3 linked regions of the Arabidopsis thaliana genome follow. The protein of the gene in region 1 purifies or fractionates together with the protein of each later gene. This does not show direct contact. Each region holds a gene or a part of one and is shown in the gene's direction. Other genes may lie near its edges.

The links. The genes of interacting proteins can lie anywhere in the genome.
Region 2: the proteins of HON4 (region 1) and AT3G20820 fractionate together in Arabidopsis thaliana (co-fractionation; one large-scale study listed by BioGRID). This does not show direct contact.
Region 3: the proteins of HON4 (region 1) and AT2G34810 fractionate together in Arabidopsis thaliana (co-fractionation; one large-scale study listed by BioGRID). This does not show direct contact.

What each region holds. Positions count from the first base shown.
Region 1 is NC_003074.8:6,168,168-6,173,796, reverse strand, and holds HON4 (winged-helix DNA-binding transcription factor family protein), read left to right. Parts: upstream 1-1,791; 5' UTR 1,792-2,238; coding exon 2,239-2,448; intron 2,449-2,534; coding exon 2,535-3,416; coding exon of another isoform or gene 3,417-3,488; exon of another isoform or gene 3,489-3,871; intron 3,872-3,959; coding exon 3,960-4,025; intron 4,026-4,128; coding exon 4,129-4,413; 3' UTR 4,414-4,834; downstream 4,835-5,629. Other genes in the region: HAL3A (HAL3-like protein A), read left to right, coding at 5,168-5,503, 5,621-5,629.
Region 2 is NC_003074.8:7,278,430-7,283,065, forward strand, and holds AT3G20820 (Leucine-rich repeat (LRR) family protein), read left to right. Parts: upstream 1-2,362; 5' UTR 2,363-2,500; coding exon 2,501-3,598; 3' UTR 3,599-3,948; downstream 3,949-4,636.
Region 3 is NC_003071.7:14,683,103-14,687,904, forward strand, and holds AT2G34810 (FAD-binding Berberine family protein), read left to right. Parts: upstream 1-2,067; 5' UTR 2,068-2,189; coding exon 2,190-3,812; 3' UTR 3,813-4,114; downstream 4,115-4,802.

The sequences.
Region 1 (5,629 bases):
ATAAAAAACATAAACAAATCATTTCAAATTCGAGAGAAAAATAAAAGGGTCTTAAAACTGTTAATTATGCAACAGATAGGCCCATGTAATGTTGAGGTCCATCACATAAGTAAACATTATATTGAAGGCTGATAATTCGGCCCGTTAAAAGTGTTGTTTATAAGAGGTTGTGTGTACTGTGTAGTGTGACATATCAGAGGCGACAAAACATATCATAATCTTTTGTTTTGTTGGAATTCTGGTGTGGTGATCGTCTTTTGTCATCTGCTTACTTGGTGTCTGGTGATTGTGTCTTCTGATCGTCTATTACCAGCCGCACTTTGTTTGACCCTTGCTTGAAAGTATTCGAGCACACGCATGCACACATCACAACACAGATATATTAGTATTAAAAGAATGAGCATACATAAATTGTTGTATGAAAACGACACGACTCAGGTGATACTTGGAGTTTGAATGATGAGCATATATCGGGTTTTACTTGCGCTTAATGCATAAGCATAAACGTACTGTACTCTTTATAATATCGTATTGTAATGTCAGTAATATGTACCAACAATTCTCTTGTTGGATGATTCTTTTTGGGTACCGTGATGTATGGGCTGGCTTTACCAAGGAGATAGGTGTGACACTTGTTCCCCCATAGATTTATCAATTGTTCTTAGTCCCATTGATTTTATTTGAGATTTGCTACTTCAAAATTCAAATGGTGAAATCTATCCAACTACCCTTTTGAATCCACACATATAATACACAAAAGTTCATTAAACAATATTAAAATGTCAAATGAAAAAAAAAGTTCTTCTAAAAAAAAAAAAAAAACATTAACTATATGTAAAACCACTAAATATCTTTAAAATTATCGCTCACTTTGTATCCTTTACATTACCCGTTAAAAATGCTTGTTTGTTATAAATTTTGCATTAAACAATTATAAATTCTAGTTTTTCATATTTTAAATTTTCTTAAATTCATCGTTCACTATTTATCATTTTTATTATAATGTTTAAATAAATAACGCTTCTTTGTACAAAACAAATTAAAATTTGCAATCAATACTTACTAATTGCATGTTTTTCCATATTTTGAAAATTTTAAAACTTATCTTTCATCATTTAATATTTCAATTATTCTTTTAAATATATCACGCTTATTTGTGATACAAGACAAAAGAAAAATGTATTTAGCACTTGGTAAATATATTTTTCCATATTTTATTTTTTTCATAAAGTTATCTTTCATCATCTATAATAAGAGGTTTACATTTATTTGTTATTTTTGTTTTACGTCGTACATTTATATATATATATATAGATATATATATATATATATATCAAATATTTTGTTAAAATGCAACTAAAGTTAAAATTTAATTCAAATGTAAATATCATACATTACTGTTTAAAAATATTTTAATGTCTTGTAATTTTTCCTTAATGAAAAACATATTTGATGTATCATTTTGTGATTAAGTTAAAGGGTCGCAAATAGATATATACTCTAACAAAATTCACAGAAAATATAAATTTGAAACTAAATTTTATGTAAATGTATCGATTTCAAATCCTAAACAGAGGACATAGAAGTTAGTAATTGCATTTGTTTTGCCATACTCATCTCAATACATCTCTTACTTATCATACACTCTTTAATGGAGTTTGTTACATGGGTTACTTAATGTAACAGTGTTTGCTATATACTTCATTCGATGTTATTCTAAAATCAACAAAATTGTTTTACACTGAAAGCGAGGAGTTCTTTTCAGAAAAATAATTTAAAATTTTGGCGGTCCATTTTTAAAATTTTGGTGATTTTTTATTACATTGGAGCGAAAATGTAGCAAAATTCTAAGAGGCAAAAATGAAAAAAATCAAAGTAAAGAAACACAAAATCCTTAAAATAAAAGACAAAATGATATGACACGTCATCGATCCTCGTCAAAACCGTCGATAGAAAACAAATCAACGGTTAGATTTAATAGTAATCTTTCTTCTCATCCTTTCGTCTCTACTCCTCCGCCTCTCTCTCCCCAACCTAACTTTATTTATTTCTCTCACAAAAATTTTATTTTCACAAAAACAAAAAAATCAAAAGAGCTCTCAGAGCAAAAAACAAAAAAAAAGAAAAAAAAACCCTAAATCTAAATCTCACCTTCCACCTCTGTCTTTTTTTTTTTTGTTCTTTTTTTTTTTTTTACTGTATCTTCTCTTCTCTTTGCTCTGCAAAAATCTCACATCCATGGATCCATCTCTTGGTGATCCTCATCATCCTCCTCAGTTCACCCCTTTTCCTCATTTTCCCACCTCCAATCATCATCCTTTAGGACCAAATCCGTACAATAACCATGTCGTCTTCCAACCGCAGCCGCAAACGCAAACGCAAATCCCGCAACCGCAGATGTTTCAGTTATCTCCACATGTTTCAATGCCCCACCCTCCTTACTCCGAAGTAAGTTCAATCTTAAAAGCCTCTTCCTTTATAACTAAATTCAGTTACTTTTTTTTTTGTTACTAATTTTTTTTTTCTGTGTGTAGATGATTTGCGCTGCGATTGCGGCGTTAAACGAACCGGATGGTTCGAGCAAGATGGCAATTTCGAGATACATCGAGAGATGTTACACCGGTTTAACTTCTGCTCATGCTGCTTTGTTGACTCACCATCTCAAGACTTTGAAGACCAGTGGTGTTCTTTCTATGGTTAAGAAATCTTACAAAATTGCTGGTTCTTCTACTCCTCCTGCTAGTGTAGCTGTTGCTGCTGCTGCCGCCGCTCAAGGTCTCGATGTTCCCAGATCTGAGATTCTCCATTCAAGTAACAACGATCCCATGGCTTCTGGCTCTGCTTCTCAGCCTCTGAAACGAGGTCGTGGTCGTCCTCCTAAGCCTAAACCTGAATCTCAACCACAACCACTACAGCAACTTCCACCGACCAATCAAGTCCAGGCTAACGGACAGCCAATCTGGGAACAGCAGCAAGTTCAATCACCTGTTCCGGTTCCGACTCCGGTTACAGAGTCGGCGAAGAGAGGACCTGGTCGTCCAAGGAAGAACGGTTCTGCTGCTCCTGCTACTGCACCAATCGTTCAAGCTTCGGTTATGGCTGGAATTATGAAACGTAGAGGTAGACCACCGGGTCGTCGAGCTGCTGGGAGACAGAGGAAGCCCAAATCCGTTTCTTCTACTGCCTCTGTGTATCCTTATGTTGCTAATGGTGCTAGACGCAGAGGAAGGCCTAGGAGAGTTGTTGACCCTAGCAGTATTGTTAGTGTTGCTCCAGTAGGTGGTGAAAATGTGGCAGCGGTTGCGCCAGGGATGAAGCGTGGACGTGGACGACCACCTAAGATTGGTGGTGTTATCAGTAGGCTTATTATGAAGCCTAAGAGAGGACGAGGACGTCCTGTAGGTAGACCCAGAAAGGTAAATTTTCACATCCCCCAATTCTGTATTCGTGATCTCGATTTTGCAATATCTGACGTTTACTGTGCATGATTGTTCACTGCTCCGCCGTCAATTTAGATTGATAAAGTTTGATACTTGTGTTGCAATCATTGTGGAATTCAAACTCAATGTCACTTTCCGCTTTTGAGCATTGTTGTCTGTTTTCGCGTATCCAAAATCTGACTAGTATCTAGTGTTTTTATTATATTTTCGTGTCCCTTACTTTTGGCTTATCCTTATCTGGTTTCTCTGTTTTATTTTAATTTTCGTTTGGATAATTAAGACCAAAATAGTCGGTAATGTATCGCTATAGCTAGGAATAATTTTATCATCAATTAGTGTGTTAATCCGGCTTAATGGTTTCTAAGTCATCACATAGTGTCTTCTTCTCTGTATCTTCTATTTTACTAGTAACGTGTTCAATTGGATCTAAAGTAAGACTTCTTAATTTAACCATTAATGTCTTTCTTGAATATGTTATACTTTTATCCAACAATTTTATTTTTTGGTTCATGAACCTAGATTGGAACATCAGTCACGACTGGGACACAAGATTCTGGAGAACTCAAGAAGAAGTTTGATATTTTTGTAAGTCTACTTGTTGACAATAAACAGTTTGGCTGTCCTTTATTTGATTAAAGTATTCGATTCTACTTGCTTATGTTTGGTTTTTGTATGTAAATGATTTCAGCAAGAGAAAGTGAAAGAAATTGTGAAGGTGTTGAAGGATGGAGTTACAAGTGAGAATCAAGCAGTGGTGCAAGCCATAAAAGATCTGGAAGCACTAACAGTGACGGAGACCGTTGAGCCACAAGTTATGGAAGAAGTGCAGCCAGAGGAGACTGCAGCACCACAGACTGAAGCTCAACAAACTGAAGCTGCTGAGACACAAGGAGGACAAGAAGAAGGACAAGAAAGAGAAGGAGAAACACAGACCCAGACAGAAGCAGAGGCAATGCAAGAAGCTCTGTTCTGAAGAATAATAATGATCTAGAAAACAACCTAGACATAATAGCCTTGGTGTTTGGCGTTAGGAGTGTTTTTTTTTAGTTGTTTTAGGTGTTGGAATCGCATCTTAAATTATATAAAAATCTATAAGGAATTTTAATTTTTCTAGGTTTTGTTGTCTGCAGAAGAAGAAATAGTAGACTCGTTAATGGTGTTGTTGTCGGTGTGTCTTTAACCAAACCATAAGACGTGGCTGTAAATTAGCGATGTTTCTAGTCTTCCATCTTTAATAATCTCTTATTGCGTCTGTGCCTTTGTTTTTTTCAATCTGTCTTCTGCTCTCTGCTTCCGCTTTGCACATTGTGGAGATGTTTTCGTGTCTATTTTCCACCCAACGGTTTTAGCAGGTCGACTCTTACTTAATTTCTTACTAATAATATCTTCATTTCCATCTCACGTTGGCTCAAAAAGCTATATAACTTTGACTCGAAAACATGTTAGAGTTAACACAACAGTCGAACTCAGAATCGAAATTGCAGTCCAAACGAAGTAAATATAAAATGAAATATATCGATATTCACAGCCCATACGACCGAGGCCTAAAAAAGAGTGAGTCAATGGCCCATTTGACCAGCAACTAAAATGATTGTCCTCTCGGGCCTCTCTCTTTCTCTTCCCTCTAAAACATTTTGATATTCTCTTCGACCAGATCAATTTTTCGGTTAGGGTTCTTCGCCGAACCATTGGCTACTTTGCTAGATCTCTGAAGGTGTAAAAGAGCTATGGAGAATGGGAAAAGAGACAGACAAGACATGGAAGTGAATACCACACCGAGGAAGCCTCGTGTACTACTCGCTGCAAGTGGAAGCGTCGCTGCTATCAAATTCGGCAATCTCTGCCATTGCTTCACCGAATGGGCAGAAGTCAGAGCCGTCGTTACGAAATCATCTCTACATTTCCTCGATAAACTCTCTCTCCCACAAGAAGTGACTCTGTATACTGATGAAGATGAATGGTCTAGCTGGAACAAGATCGGTGATCCTGTCCTTCACATCGAGCTTAGACGTTGGGCTGATGTTTTAGTCATTGCTCCTTTGTCTGCTAACACCTTAGGCAAGGTAATTTAACAAATCGACGAAAACCCTAAACCAACTACTTAGATTCAATTGTGTGACTTGTGAAAACATTCATGGAGGATTCAATTCATACAATATATTTTTGTTGTACCTTTGTAGATTGCTGGT
Region 2 (4,636 bases), 1.1 Mb from region 1:
TTGATATCATTCATTTTATATATAACTTGCGACCTAACCAATGCTTTGGAGTTCGTGGGTGATTAATATACTCATGCCAAAACCAATAATTAATTTCTTGACACGTAATACCCGCAGCAACTGAGCTGTCGCATGACAAGCCAAAAAACCATCAAGTTTAAAGAAACAAAATCCACCAAGATGAGATTTTTAACTCGCAAAGATTTTTGTTCTTTGGGATGTAACATTAAATAGTAGACGACAGATTTTATGCGAAATACAAAAACTTTGAGAAAATAGTTTTAAAAAAGACATATTGTACCCCTCCAGGTAAAAAAGATCTAGTCCAACACCTATAAACTTTGAAAACTCTACTAGCATTAAACTTTGGACATTACTATGTCTCGCATAATCGCCTTTAGGAATGCTAAGGACAAAAACATGTTTTACAGTTATTGTCTGTGAGCAGTAGTTTCATGTGGCTGCCGTTTATTACGAAACCGTCGGTGCTGAATTAGAGACACGGACGGTGAAAAATCATAAACGGTAAATGCTTTTACAACCATTTATCTATATGCTTTGAAGCCCAATCTTAGCCCAAGCCATGATACTAGAAGCCGAATCAAAAGCTAATATAGGGCTTGATTGGTTCTCCCTCTGCCACCCGCAAACGCAGCGTTTGCGGGTGGTAGCGGTTATTAGCGGTTGGCACCAATCATAGAAACCGCTAGATACCGCTTTGGACCGCTTGAAATCACCAGATTTCAAAAGCTCCTTCCCGCAAGCGTTTGCGGTTGCGGGCGGTAGCGGTTAGGTTAAAAAAAAATTAATTAATTAATTAAAATAATTATGTCTTCCACCCAAACCTTATACTTATTCTTATCAGAAAACCCTAATCAATGAAACCCTATTCTCTCAATTATGGCATCCACCCAAACTGACAAAAATCAAAGTCAAAATCAAGAATCAAACGTAAGTATGATCTATCCTTTCATCCATTCATTAGCTAGTGTAATTCTCGGAATATTTCATGGCATCGTTGTTTTTTTTTATTTTGTTTTTTTTTGAGTTTTTTGATTGAATACATGTTTTGATTTGTTTTCTCGATTAGAAAATCATTTGGTCAAACGAGACCACATTTGCGTTACTTCAACGGGTTATTGTGGAGAAATAAACGGAAGAATCCAAAGACCCCAAAATCAGATTTCTAAGTGATGTTCAAAAAGAAAATATTCTTAAGAATATTAACGTTTGGAAAAAATTTGAGTTGGAGATGTGTTAAAAATCGTTTGGATATCTTGAAGAAACTTTATCATATGTATAGAGGCAATCCGGAAAACCCGCGAGTTCAACGTTATTTACAGTTTATCACACTACTTGATGCAATTTTTGGTGATGTACCAAATGCATAAAGTATTAAACTTTTTCTTACAAAATTTATTTATTTTTGAATTTTTAGTTTTATTTATGGTTTTAATTATTAAGTATGTTTAATTTTTCAAATATTATCAATTTATCATAATAATATATTGTATTTTTTTTCTTTTAATAGTAATATATTATATTTATTTTGGTTATTTTTTATTTAATTACTATCGCACCCGCTGGTTTACCAGTCATAAAACTCCCGCAAACGCACTCATTACCAAACGCTCAACCAGTCGTTCAAAACACTTGATAACGTTTGAAACCGCAACCGCCCGTTTCCGCAAATTCCCGCAACCGCAATCGTACCCGCTGCGTTTAAACCAGGCCCATAGTCAACATAAGTTACGGAACCACAACTATTTGCGACTCGAAGATGTGTATCGTCATCTCATAACATGATTAGAAAAAGGATTAAAATGCAAGAACATAACCACGTGGCGTCATGTTGACCCTGTGATATGATTGTAGTAAGCAACAAGCTTATCCAACCGGCAAGTCGCATCGGAAAATCTAATCGTAGCTTCAATTATTTGCATGGGAACTCTCCCCCACTTTCAGTTCCTGTCTCTATCTTAATTTGTCTGCAACCTTTTCTATTACCATCTAATGAATGTGCTCAACACTATAAATCCATGTGTATGTTTCTTCATTTTTGTGGCCATATTATTGCTACAACTAGTTATTACAAACCACACAATCACATGTTACTCAAACAACAAACCCACATGTTAAAAGTTATTACCAATTTCTTACGTTCTCGTTTTTTTGTGTTTAAGATATCTAACATGAATTTGACATTTGTTGTTGACTAATTTGATGTAGAATTTCTTGATTAATCAAGATTACACGAACACAAGCTTCATTATTGAACGAGGCCAAAGTGTCTAATCTTACCCATATCGAATTATTATTTTAACAATTTCACGTAAAAAAAAAAATAAAGCAAAGTATTGTCCTTTTTTTATTAATATATTTTTAAAAATTCCCTCTTTTATTTAATATCCTCTATTTATATGCCATTAACGTCTATCTTCTTCCCTCACCCATCAAGTCCCAATTCCCAACACTGTCACTCAAAAAGAATCTTCAAACAATGAATCTCAACGTCGTCGTTTTACTCCTACTCCTTCTAATCTCATCCGCCACGTGTTGTCCGCCGTCAGACCGCCGTGCACTTCTAGCTTTCCGATCAGCTCTTCACGAGCCTTACCTCGGCATTTTCAACTCATGGACAGGCCAAGACTGTTGCCACAACTGGTACGGTATTAGCTGCGACTCGCTCACTCACCGAGTCGCCGACATAAATCTCCGCGGCGAGTCAGAAGATCCAATCTTCGAACGAGCTCACCGAACCGGTTACATGACCGGACACATCTCCGCCTCGATATGTGAGCTCACTCGTCTCTCCGCCATTACAATCGCCGATTGGAAAGGTATCTCCGGCGAAATCCCTAAATGTATCACTCGTCTTCCTTTTCTCCGTACACTCGACTTAATCGGAAACCAAATCTCCGGTGGGATTCCATACGACATCGGAAGATTAAACCGGTTAGCTGTTTTAAACGTAGCCGATAACCGAATCTCCGGTTCAATTCCAAAATCATTAACCAATCTCTCTAGCTTAATGCATTTAGATCTCCGTAACAACTTAATCTCCGGTGTAATCCCGTCGGACGTCGGAAGATTAAAAATGCTCAGCCGTGCGTTATTATCCGGTAACCGAATAACCGGTCGGATCCCAGAATCATTAACCAATATCTACCGGTTAGCTGACGTGGATCTCTCCGGTAACCAACTCTACGGTACAATCCCACCGTCTCTAGGACGTATGTCGGTACTAGCCACACTTAACCTCGACGGAAACAAAATCTCCGGCGAGATACCTCAAACTCTGATGACGTCGTCGGTGATGAATCTGAATTTGAGCCGGAACTTGCTACAAGGGAAGATACCTGAAGGGTTTGGACCAAGGTCTTACTTCACAGTTCTTGATTTGTCGTATAATAATCTGAAAGGACCAATACCGAGATCGATCTCAGGTGCGTCGTTTATTGGTCATTTGGATCTTAGCCATAACCATCTCTGTGGGAGGATTCCGGTAGGTTCACCGTTTGATCATCTTGAAGCGGCGTCGTTTATGTTTAACGACTGTCTTTGTGGTAAACCTTTAAGAGCTTGCTTGAAAAATTGATTTTTATATGTAATTTGAGTTTTTTCATTAGAGACATTATTATATTTATGGTTATGCATTTTATAAAAAAAAGATTTAAAATTGTATGCTACGTTTAGTTGAATTATGGGATGATTAACAAAATATATAAACTTCCAGTTTCATTCGTCACACGATTGCTATCATTTTTAATTCAATTGTTTGGTTTTTTGTAATATGTTATATGTGTACGTATACGATTACTATAAACTGTTTTATAGACGATTAAATTTTCTCTATAACACACGAACATATTTGATAATCAATTATGTTTACTGTGACAAGAGTCAATATTGGGAATATATCCGAACATAGGATATACATGGAAATACCTACGGATATGTTCGTATTTAATGTATCGAGTAAACTATTTTTTGTTTTTTCTTACATATTTTATACGATATACATATAACTATAGACTAGGAATGCATTTAGTTGGGTTTGTTTAAGAACATTTATTCTAGAGCCAAATACACATAATATGGAAAAATTCAAATCACAATCACATGAAGAAGAATTAAATGAAACATTAAAAAGAAAGCGTTGTGGGGGTAATAAATAAATGGGCAGAGGCATTGCATGTGAGACTCTGTAAAGCATTTTGCGGTGAGTGTTAACCTCAGGACCTGTCGCTGCTTCACTACATGGGTCTACTCTTTATGTCACTGCATTCATTGCTTATGTCTCTAATTACACACATTTATATACTTGCTTACAAAACGTTTTGGGCTCATACAGCTTTAGAGTCCAAACTAATTGGGCCTACGTACGTTGGTCCCTATAGATTTTTATGGTTTAGAGTCCATCACAAATCTTGTTTTCATACTTTGTGGTATGTAAAGTTGAGATTCAAACAAACCATTTGTACAACGTATAAATTATGTATTAAGTTTGAACCTATTTGATTATATATTCCGATAAATAATCTGCCATACATCATCAAAACAAAATGATTTTTTTTTTAACATGAACTAAAGAAGAAGAAGAAAGTTGTACAAGTTCTTTAACTCTCTCCCTGCC
Region 3 (4,802 bases), on another chromosome or scaffold:
ATAAGGAATTTTAAAGGATTTTAAAAGATTTACAAAGAATTTGTAAAGATTTTTAAAGGGTTTAAAAGTGTTTTGAAAGATTTACAAGGGATTTTAAAACCCTTTTAAAATCTCTTGTAAATTTTTTAAAATCCTTTTAAAATCTCTTGTAAATCTTTTAAAACTCTTTTAAAATCTCTTATAAATCTTTTAAAACCCTTGTAAATCTATTTGCCGCCAAAAAATATTTACAAAGATTTTTAAAATCATTTTTTTAGCTGAGGAAAATTGTTACGAAAAAGTTTTTGGCAGGAATTGTTTTTTTTGGCGGGAAAAAAGTTTGGCGGAAATTTTTTTTTTGGCGGAAAATAAAAATTTTGGCGCCAAAAAATTGGCGGGAAAAGTTCAGTTTCCAATTACATGTTTCTATTAGATGAGGGTAATTTGGTCATTTTGTTCAAGGGAAAGGGTACTTTTAAAAATGGAAAACATAAAAGGGTATTGTTGCAAAAAAATAGTAAAAAATGGGTAGTTTTGCAAATCTCCAATCATATATATACTAAGCTTCAAACTAGTTTAGTTTTGATTTGTTTTCCGATCCTAAACTTGAATTAAGCTCATGATGTTGGGAGCCTATATAAATTATTAGAACGTGATATTCATGCATGGTGTATTCAAAGAATTACACATATATAAGAGAGACTAGGATAAAACTAATTACGTTTAGATAATACTAAATACTGAGGTATGTCAAGGATGCTCTAACATATTTGTTAGGTGGATCCAAATCCACTATGGTCGAAGCGGTGGGTAACCGACGCCAAATATTATATACTGTGCAGTTGTACAAAATGGATGAACGCTATATTCAGACAAATAAGTACTATAACAAAACAAGAAAGAACTCTTTAAGTACTTCAATTTTGAGCAAAGGAAAATTTCGAGAATAATGGTTTGTAGTAGCCCGGAGGGGAAACATTACCATTTTGGTCTAAACACTTCACAATAAACTTGAAAACAAAATAGCTAGACTAGCTAGAGATATATATGTTTAGTTTCATAATATGCATGTGACCTCATAATTAAACCTTATTTTGAAACTATAACTTATAAACAGATGAACTGGTCTTTCGATCTTTAACAAAAATAAAAATGAACTGGTCTTTCTTTTAACAAATTTCTGAATCTTGTGGGAACTCTATTGGATAATTGGATTCGTAAGCACAAATTGATCCACGACCACTACATTATACATATGCAGATATGTTAATGCTATAAGACCATCTCTTTTATTGTATGACTTTTGGAGATAACAGAAAAGGGAATCTTTTACAGATAAGAGTTTAGAGTAAAGAGAAAAGAAGCCTATTTGGTTGATTTTGATTCACTGATTAAAACAACACTTGTCTTTTTTATCTTTGCCTTCACGAGAATCATAACTACACTCACCGTCCTCGCCGATCAAAAGTCCTCGTGTGATAAGAAATTCATGTGGACAATTTTATTGCAGGTACGTATTTTTCATCAACTTATCCATAACGACACGTGTTGACCTTCTTACGTAGCTCTTCTGTATTTGATCGCCTTGGATTTGCTCTAAGACCTAATTTAATCACGCCACATGCAACAATTAACTACCAAGGGTCCCAAAAAAAGAAAGAAACACATACTACTCTATTTAATTTGATAATAAACAAATAAAGTCCGTTTAGTAGATTATGTTTTACATATAAAAACAATTAAAGTCCGTTTTGTTAATTATGTTTTACCTATAAAAAAAAAATTCACCAAAAAACATTAATCAAATCATATCCTAGTTGATCATTGGTGAGGTGACTGACAGGTCGTGGAATTCTGGCATCCTATCGTCGACAAATCTTAAACTAAAGTAACTCTTACTGTTACTTTTTAAATATGTCAAAGTAACCAATATCTTCTACGGAACTTATATCCAATTTGCATACTTTTACTCATACTATACAAAATACAAGCGGATATAAACAACAAAATAAGAAAACTACACTAATATCTATAGAAACTTCAAATTGAATTGAATATTATCGTGATATATATATATATATATATATCGCCGAATATTCCCTGGAAAATTAAATACAAAGACTATACTACTCTATTGGCTATAAATACACACACAAACCCAACAAAGCTATTTCATTATTCAAAAACCAATCACAAATAACAAAACGAAAATGAAGTTTTGGTCACGACCATTAACGTTTCTTATAATTATTATCTATCTCATAATTCAACAAGTCAACTCATCACCACCGTCATTATCTATACCGGAGCATTTTCTCCGATGCCTCGACACTCAACCATCCGACCACGGCAGTCCCAACTCAAGAACCGCCGTGATCCCAACAAACTCATCTTTCTCAACAAACCTAATGAACGGCGTCAGAAACCTCCGGTTCGCTTCTGTCTCCACAAGAAAACCAGAAGTTATCGTCGCCGCCGTCACCGAAACTCACATAAGAGCAACAATCTCTTGCTGCAAACTCCTAAACCTCGAGCTAAGAATCCGAAGCGGAGGCCACGACTACGAAGGCTTCTCCTACACTTCTCCGGTACCTTTCGTAATCTTAGACATGTACAACTTCAACAAAATCGATATCAACATGAAAGACGAAACCGTTTGGATCCAATCCGGAGCTTCACTAGGTCAGCTTTACTATAACATTGCAAGTAAAAGCAAAGTCCACGCTTTTCCCGCCGGAGTTTGTCCTAAAGTCGGCGCCGGAGGACATTTCAGCGGCGGAGGATTCGGTAACCTCATGAGAAAATACGGTTTATCCATTGATCATATAATCGACGCTCAAATCATGGACGCCAACGGTAAAGTGTACCGTAACCGTCAAGCTATGGGAGAAGACGTGTTTTGGGCTATTCGCGGCGGAGGCGGCGGAAGCTACGGAGTCATTCTTGCCTGGAAGATAAAACTCGTTAGGGTTCCGGAGAAAGTCACAGTTTTTAAACTAGAAAGAACGGTGAGAGAAGGAGCCGTTGATTTAGTTCATAAATGGCAACAAGTAGCTCCGGTTATCGACAGAGATTTGTTTATCCGGTTAGAGATTAAACCAATAAACCGGAAAATCTCAAAAGGTAAGACGATTAAAGTCTCCTTCATCGGAATGTTTCTTGGTTTACCTGAGAGACTTTTAAACATAACGAAACAGAGTTTCCCTGAGCTACATTTAACGAAAGAAGATTGTATGGTCAAGAAATGGATCGAATCTAGTGTTTTCTGGGCGAATTATCCAGAAAAAGCACCGATAGAGTTACTTCTCAAAAGAGTATCAACCAACGAATACTACTGGAAACGTACTTCAGATTTTGTTCAAGCACCAATCTCAAAACAGGGTCTTGCAAAGATTTTTCAAACAATGATTGATCATTCGCCACTTCCACGACGAGTTTGGATGCAATGGAATCCATGGGGAGGGAAAATGGCTGAGATAGCGTCTGATGCGACGGCGTTTGTGCATAGAGGTGGTAATGTTTTCATGATTGAGCATTTCATGAATTGGTATAGACCTGGAGATGAGCTTGAAGAGAAGTTCTTGGCGATTGCAAGAAGTTTTAAAGAAGCTATGGCTCCGTTTGTTTCCAAGAATCCGAGAGAAGCTTTCTTTAATTATAGAGATGTCGATATCGGAATTACTACGCCGGGGTATAATGCGACGTATGAAGGAGCTAAGGTTTATGGGGATAGTTATTTCAAAGGGAATTATTTGAGATTGGTTAAGATTAAAGCCCGGTTCGACCGGACTAATTTTTTCCGGTCTCAGCAAGGGATTCCGGTTCTTGCTTAGTTTGGTGATTGGTGAGTGTTTGAATTGATTGTATTGTTGTGTGGGAAGGAGTATACTATTAAGTTATTAAAAGTTGAAATTTGGGATCATATCCAATGAATCTATTGGGTATATATGTTCCTTAGTTGTTCTGGCATGGGCAGTTGATAATTTTGTGTTAAATAATGGTTTACTTCAATCTCCAAGAGAAGTTATGTGCTAAAATTTTTAATAATAAATGGATCGGAGTTGTATATCTCTAAGAGAATTCATTGATTATAATCAACAATATATGATTAGTTTTAGTTATAGCATAAATGAACAATATATGGTCTTTAATTTGCAAAGAATACTGATTGCAAAATCTTAAATAAATTTCATAATAAAAAATCAACCAGATTTTACGCGTCTTTTTAAACAAATATCATGTACTAATTTATCCGATGACAAACTATATTATATGATATCACTATATGTTTCTAAATCATAACCTAATATTATTTTATTTACAATTGGGGTCAAGTTTACCGCTAATTTAGTTATCTAGCAAAGAAGCCTAATAATTTTTGCATGAATCTATGCAACTTTTGTTTTTTTTTGTCAAAAACATAGTATGTCAGTATGACCGATGAGCGATGAACAAAATCATTGGGTCCATTGCAAAAAGTGTGTTTTTCAGAAATCTTGGCGCAGAGTCACAGATGAACACGTGATAGGATTTATATATTAAATGCTTGAACAGGACATGGTCGAGTTGCTTCCAATAATTGTAATGAGGTCACAGTTTTAACTATATGATATAGACTTTTCGACTGGTCGATCGGTCCAAACTGGTCCGACATTTTGGGATAGGGTTAGTTATAATTGTTAGTTCAATATTTTACACGTGGGCAAAATTCCGAGACTTTCTCACCACAATTTGAAAAAATCTCGATTCCAATCAATCAAATGACCAATATCACCAGTCAAATGTTTAAAAGAGAAAACACTAGCTTGAAGCCAAAATGTATA